2 linked regions of the Neurospora crassa OR74A genome follow. The protein of the gene in region 1 purifies or fractionates together with the protein of each later gene. This does not show direct contact. Links are inferred from orthologs where the notes say so. Each region holds a gene or a part of one and is shown in the gene's direction. Other genes may lie near its edges.

Region 1 (4,237 bases):
TGCCACTTTAGGAGTGTGACTGCGGCTGTCCGGAAATTGTAAAAACCGAGCTGGGATTGACAGGAAGAGCAAAACACGTTGAGGCTCCGAACCTGGTTGCTGCTTTCGTCTGAAGCAACAACTTGCCTATCTGGTGATCCATGCTCAGGGGTAGAGAGTGAATACTAAAGAGCGGAAACATGGTCAGCACTAACTGACGAGGGGAGAGGTTTACTGGTGTGAAGAGTTGAGAAAGGATGTTCCTCCAGTTAATCCCAGAGCATTTAGGACTTGGCAATGATCTGGCGAAATGCGGAGGGTTCAGCCTGTCATCCACCGACTGGAAGCGCCCCATCACAGAAGTCAGGTTCGTCGACCACTCAATGCCCCGCATAAGCAGGGGACAGAGTCTGCTTGATTTTGGGCATTTGTATCGGTATCCATGCCATTGAGGGGCCGAGGCCGACTTGGCTACCTTCTTGATGCCCCGACTGCTAAGATTCAAATGGACGCATTCGAGACGGTGAATAGACCAAGTCATGAGCATGCTACATATGGACTTACCGTGATGTTGGAACAGTCCTGCTCGACGAATAACAGCGTTGTCAGATCAACAAACCCAACACCTTGTTGCGCCGAAATGGCCGAGCTCGCGCCATATCCTCGAGCTGCAAGACTCATGTCATCTGCCCTATCGCTTTGCCCGTTGGCATCAACGCCGTTTGACTTGTCGTGGTGGTGATGGTCATGATCGTGGTCACCAGGTTTGTGACAGTGCCAAAACTCCATCATCTCAGCCCAGTTCTCACTCGGGAGGTCTTTCCACACCTTGACAACATCTCGCTTGACAACAACGGCCTGGCATTGTCTACAAACAACTTCGGACCCGGCCTTCAAATCGGTGGCTGTCCAAGTGGACGACTCGGCTGATGATGCATCCGTGTATGTTCCTTGACCCAACGGTAACCTCCAGGAGAGCGCAGAGGCTCCAGGTCTTTGTATTGGCAGAATGGCGCCGCCAAGGGCTACCTTTGCGGGTAGATGTAGTGTATGTGACTGTCCATGGTGTGTGAGCTCGACATTCTCTCCATCCGCTGCCACCACTACTCGTGTTGACGCATCGCTTGCAGAGCCCAGTGAGATGGCCAGCGATATCTGGCGGATATTTGAAAGCAACTCTACATACAGTAGCGGCGTTGCAGGTTGGGATGTCATGCTGGTCGAAGCGAAGATGAAGCGAGGTTGAGAGAGGTGAAATGGATGGAAGTTGAGGGTGTGGAAAGTGAAAGTGCTGCCTCCCCACATGAGCTAAGTGGAAATGGATGGAAGCTCCCCTGCTCCCCACCGCGATCGAAAGCGTCGAGGTCTGGACTGCTTACCTAATGCACCTGGAGCGCCACTTGGAGTGGAAACTTCAGGTGCAGCCTTGCCAAGCCCGTGTCAGCTCTCTCACGGTCACGTCCCGTCACCAGTCGCTGGCCAAAATTTCAGGGAAGGCGTGTGCACCGTACCGCATCCACTGCGCCCGTCTTCAGCCGTGACCTGCATCCCTCTGCCTCCACCGTCTATTCCCTTGCTGATAGCCTCAGTTATACACGACAAAGTGTCAAAACTGTCACCGTCAATTTAGCTGCCCCGTCAGTTACCATACCCGATCCCACCCAACCACCCACGGGCAGCGCCACATCATCACGTCCCGTTTCCTCCCGACCACATACCATCATTCACCCTCGCGGCGCGCTGGACATTCTTGCGACGACCCCGACCTGACATGACACGAGGAGGATACGGCCAGCACCATGTCGGACTCGGATTTTGAGCAGATCAAGAAGCTCCAGCAGGAGCGCAATGCTGCTGCTGCCGCCAAGAGCGGTTCGCGCAGCTTTGATCCTGCCAACCAACGATCCGACAACAGCACCAAAGCCAAGCTGGGAGAAATATGGGACACCGATCTGTATGAGCGCAACACCGGCGACAAGTTTGCGGGCTACCACACCACCCTGCCTGCTGCCGATGGCGACGACGAAGAGATGGAAGATGCCGACTCCGGCCGCCGCCTAGTAGGACAGTACACCGCCACCCGAGCTCAGATCGATGAGTTTGCACGCGGCGATGGCGTCGAGGAGGATGATCCCCTGGCTGGCCGGGGCGAAAAGAGCAACCGCATCACCGACAGGGAGACCGACTACCAGAAGCGCCGATTTGACCGCGTTCTGACCCCTACACGAGCCGACCCATTTGCTGCCAACCGCCAAGCAGGTGCCACTGATGAAGGCGAGAGTTACCGGGAAATCATGGAACGCCGCGAGCTTGAGCGAGAGGAAGAGCGCGTACGGCGCGCCATTGAACAGAAGATGAAGGAGGGCGGTCCGGTCGAGGAGCACCAGCCTACCCTTCAGGATTCCGGTAACAAGGAGAACGAGGAGGCTGGCTCTACTGAAGCTGCGGCTGGTCGGAAGCGCAAGAAGAGATGGGATGTCGCCTCTACAGATGATGCTACCCCGGCACCAGAGCCCAAGAAGAGGTCTAGGTGGGATCAAGCACCATCTGTTCCCGCTCCAGGGGCGCCAGGGGCGGAACCCAAGAAGCGATCCCGCTGGGACCAGGCGCCTTCTGCCACTCCTGTTGGTAATGTCGGCCTAGCTACCCCGATGCACCCTACCCAGACCGCTGTCGTGCCCCCAGCTTTCGGGGCTGATGCGGCCGGTCGCTACGCACCACTCAGCGACGAAGAGCTGGACGCGATGCTTCCAGGCCCCGAACAAGGTTACAAGATTCTTGAGCCGCCACCAGGGTATGCCCCCGTGCGAGCACCGGCACACAAGCTGATGCAGGCTCCGGCCCCAACAACGGGCTTCATGATGCAGGACCCCGACAGCGGACGGATGACAGGCCAGCAGGTGCCAAAGGAGATTCCCGGTGTGGGAGACCTGCAATTCTTCAAGCCCGAAGATATGGCATACTTCGGCAAGCTCACCGACGGAGCAGATGAGGAAAGTTTGAGTGTCGAAGAGCTCAAGGAGAGAAAGATTATGAGGCTCTTGCTGAAGGTCAAGAACGGTACTCCTCCTATGAGAAAGACTGCGCTCAGACAATTGACAGATAATGCTCGCAACTTTGGTGCCGGCCCCCTCTTCAACCAAATTCTTCCTCTGCTCATGGAGAAAACATTGGAGGACCAGGAACGCCATCTTCTCGTCAAGGTTATTGATCGTATTTTGTACAAGCTCGATGACATGGTTCGACCATACGTTCACAAGATTCTCGTCGTTATCGAACCCCTTCTTATCGATCAGGACTACTATGCCCGTGTTGAGGGTCGGGAAATCATTTCGAACCTCAGCAAGGCTGCTGGTCTTGCCACAATGATCAGTGTCATGCGTCCAGATATTGATCACGTCGATGAATATGTCAGAAACACTACTGCCAGAGCCTTTGCCGTCGTTGCCTCGGCTCTGGGTATCCCAGCTCTGCTCCCCTTCTTGCGAGCTGTGTGCCGAAGCAAAAAGTCGTGGCAGGCTCGTCACACGGGTGTCAAGATCGTCCAGCAGATTCCCATCTTGATGGGCTGCGCAGTCTTGCCCCATCTCAAGCAGCTGGTTGACTGTATCGGACCCAACCTGAACGATGAACAGACCAAGGTCCGCACAGTGACCAGTTTGGCCATCGCAGCTCTCGCCGAGGCATCTAACCCCTACGGTATCGAGAGCTTTGATGATATTCTCAACCCCCTTTGGACCGGTGCCCGAAAGCAGCGAGGCAAGGGTCTGGCGGGTTTCCTCAAGGCTGTCGGTTATATTATCCCGCTTATGGATGAAGACTATGCCAACTATTACACCAGTCAGATTATGGAGATTCTGCTACGAGAATTTGCCTCTCCTGATGAAGAGATGAAGAAGGTTGTGCTAAAGGTGATTTCACAGTGCGCCGCCACCGATGGAGTAACGGCTGGGTACCTAAAGGAGCATGTGCTGGACGAGTTCTTCAAGAGCTTTTGGGTACGGCGTATGGCTCTGGATAAGCGCAACTACCGACAGGTCGTTGAGACCACTGTCGACATTGGCCAAAAGGTTGGTGTCAGCGAGATTCTGGAAAGGATCGTAGCCAACCTAAAGGACGAGAGCGAAGCCTACCGCAAGATGACGGTGGAGACGGTTGAAAAGATTGTGGCCTCTCTCGGTGCTGCCGATATTGGCGAGCGTCTGGAAGAACGCCTTATCGATGGCATTCTTCATGCGTTCCAGGAACAGAGCGTGGA
Region 2 (2,956 bases), on another chromosome or scaffold:
AGTAGTATCATTAGCCCTCGATTCAAGTCGTGTTCGTTGTCCCAGGGGTCAAGTTCTTACAACTACCGGCTCGCTGACAGTTCGCAGACTATGAGCCAAGATAAGCATCTTTTCATGCCGCCGGTGCATCTAAAAGTTAAAGGGGTCTGTTAGTAAGCATGTTCAACAGTCCGTTGTCAAAGGACAACCTACCATCCGCTCTTCGAAGTCCACCTGCTTGGCATCCCGGAAGCGTCTGCGTTCAGCGAGCAGGTCGGTTCTGCGCCTATCATCCTCGACTCTCTGCTGCTGCACTCGTTCCTGCTGGCGGCGTTCAATCTCCTTTCTCCTCTTTTGCTGCGAGTTGTTGGGTGTAGTCTGACTTAGAGTGTTGAGGAGACCACCAAACAAGCGCCTGCCGCGTTTCTTCTCCTCCAGGCTAACATTCTTCCGCGTTTGTTCGGGGCTAAGTGGTGCCTTTCGAGACGGCGGTGCGGCCTGCTCCCTTTGCTCGTCGGACTCTCTCCTACTAGTAGTGACTGGGCTTTGAACTGTGGTTTCTTGGGCGCGTGCCACAGCTTCGTTCTCCATTGGATGATCATTGTCCTTGGTAGTTGACGTGGCGTGGATCTCCCTCGCTGTGGCGACCGGCTCCCGCATCGAGTCCTTTACAGGTTCCTCTGTCCTGCCGGTTTTTGGCGTCGCTTCCCCTTCAACAATCTCACTGATCCTGCCCTGGACGTTCCCGTCCTCCAGTTTGGTGCGCTTAGCAGCCACGCCATCCTCTGGCGATGGTGAGGAAGTGGCCTTTCGTTTCTGGGTAGACAAGTCCTCTGTTTCCATCATCGGTTCCGAAGACATGAGTAGGAAATCGACAGCAGCTTGGCGTTGAAGCTGAAGCAAAGGTGTTGGAGTTGTAAGGTCTTGTAGCTCGGAAGTGATTGGCAGAAAACGTGATCGGCGTAACAAAAAGGTTTTGTTGTGCGTTGCAGTTAAAGGTCGAATGTACTTCTCCCATATATGTCGAATGGCCGGTTTGATCTCCCAACACGCCCGGTTCGTTGTTGGAAACTGGTGTTGGTGGATTGATGGAAGCCAAATTGTTAGTGACCGGCTGTGTCCAGAACTTCTCCAGTGGGAGAATCACAGTGAGCAGCTTCCCCGAAAGTGGATTATTCAGGGTAGTCCGCTGTTCGAGGCCGCTCGAATCCCCCTGTTCGGGGAAGCAGCTGGGAAGCTAACCCCACTTTCCTGCACCAGTCGCATGTCTTGGCATTTGAAGATCCGCTCTTCCACGAGGCTGACAGAAGAAAACGCGGAAAACGCTAGAAGAGGACGCCACATCGCTACCCACTTGCCGCCGAGGCTGACGAAATTCGATTCCACATCGGCATCGCCAGTGATCGCATCTTTCGCCTTGCATCACGTTCCCTATCGTCCTCGGCTACAACCACAAGTGCCATTTCGAGACCAGATTCACCGTACAGCGCATTCTCTGAGCGATCAATTTATACTACGCGACAGCACCACGCGTGCCCATCTCACCCGAATTTCAATCCTTCTGCCTACCATCACCGTCGCGAAAACACATCATAATCTCTAGCCCACCATGTCTCGCCATCATCCGTACGTCTCTTTTATGCTCGCTTCCCTCCTTGCCCAACCCAGCCCTGCTTGACCCTTTCTTGATAAACCTTCCCGACTATGTACATACTAACATTCCCGTTCCCCACAGTGATCTAGTAATGTGCCGCAAACAATCCGGCATCGCCATCGGCCGTCTCTGCGACAAGTGCGATGGCAAGTGCCCCGTGTGCGACTCGTACGTGCGGCCGACGACACTGGTGCGCATCTGCGACGAGTGCTCGTTCGGCAACTACCAGAACAAGTGCGTGGTGTGCGGCGGCGAGGGCATCTCGGACGCGTTCTACTGCTTCGAGTGCACCAGACTCGAAAAGGACAGGGATGGGTGTCCCAAAATTATAAACCTGGGTAGTTCCAGGACGGATGTAAGTTCTCTTCTTCTTTTTCCCCCCCCCTTCCCGCTTGCCGTGGGATAAAGTGCTTGGAGATGGCGTGCTCGTAAAGATTAGAGGCTAACGAAGTACGTTTTCACACAATAGCTATTTTACCAAAAGAAAACAAATCGAACATTTTAACAATAGAGATGCCCGGGCATGGGCTTGTGTGGGAAGATTGTTTGGGGTGGTTAGTTTCCTGATATGAGATGGGCTCCTGGCTGTGACGGATGGAAACCATGTTGGAAGGGGCATATAACTTCGAGAAAAGAAATTTGTCACAAGCTCAAGCTGCATTTGACTTGGCATCAAGGGCGTTAGGGAGTTCTGTTCACATACATAGCATAAGAGGGCAGGAGTTGAGAAAGACAAAGCTGAAAAGCAAGCACGTACTCTTAATTAGGCGTTGACTAACATGGCCTTGGTTACTCTTTAGAGATTTTGCCATCACATGTCAGGTTGCAGTGATTGTGTCATCTCTTTTGACTATGAACTGAAAACGAAACAAGCTATTTTCCGTGATGCATGACCCATTAACGATAGACTCGAAACAAAACTGTCGCATGCCAAAACCTGCTGCGACAACAGCCGCAATGCTAATTATCATCAGAGCAGGAATATTCCCTCCCTTACTCCCAATGTCCAAAATAATACTGGTACCCAAGCAGCAAAAAAGGGGCTCGGATCAAATGTAACTAACTTTCATCCCCATTCCAGCCGTAGCCTTCACTTTCCCCCACCCTTGCTGCACCACTCTTGTGATTCTCTCCCTCACGCTCTTTTTGCTGAACATCAGCAGGAACCCGATAATGAACGCCAGCGTCCGGTACAGCAGGAACGGGTTCCCATGGAATGCCGTCATAACCTGATCCAACACCGACCGGATATTGTTCAGTATCAAAGCCGCCTTCGTGCCCATTCCAGGGCCGGTCACGGCACTCGAAGAAGAACCCGTCGTC

What was found.
Region 2: the proteins of NCU03042 (region 1) and NCU00348 purify together in Saccharomyces cerevisiae (affinity purification with mass spectrometry; 4 studies listed by BioGRID). This does not show direct contact. The link is inferred for Neurospora crassa OR74A from reciprocal best matches to the Saccharomyces cerevisiae genes HSH155 and RDS3.

Annotation. Positions count from the first base shown.
Region 1 is NC_026501.1:8,343,984-8,348,220, reverse strand, and holds the start of NCU03042 (U2 snRNP component prp10), read left to right. Parts: upstream 1-1,437; 5' UTR 1,438-1,778; coding exon 1,779-4,237. Other genes in the region: NCU03041 (hypothetical protein), read right to left, coding at 1-164, 544-1,194. UniProt on the Saccharomyces cerevisiae protein: Contacts pre-mRNA on both sides of the branch site early in spliceosome assembly.
Region 2 is NC_026503.1:3,536,906-3,539,861, reverse strand, and holds NCU00348 (pre-mRNA splicing factor), read left to right. Parts: upstream 1-1,332; 5' UTR 1,333-1,588; coding exon 1,589-1,605; intron 1,606-1,714; coding exon 1,715-1,988; intron 1,989-2,102; coding exon 2,103-2,138; 3' UTR 2,139-2,446; downstream 2,447-2,956. Other genes in the region: NCU00349 (hypothetical protein), read right to left, coding at 61-129, 193-840; pex26 (peroxin-26 Pex26-Penicillium chrysogenum), read right to left, coding at 2,683-2,956. UniProt on the Saccharomyces cerevisiae protein: Required for pre-mRNA splicing. Involved in regulation of drug sensitivity and may play a role in multidrug resistance.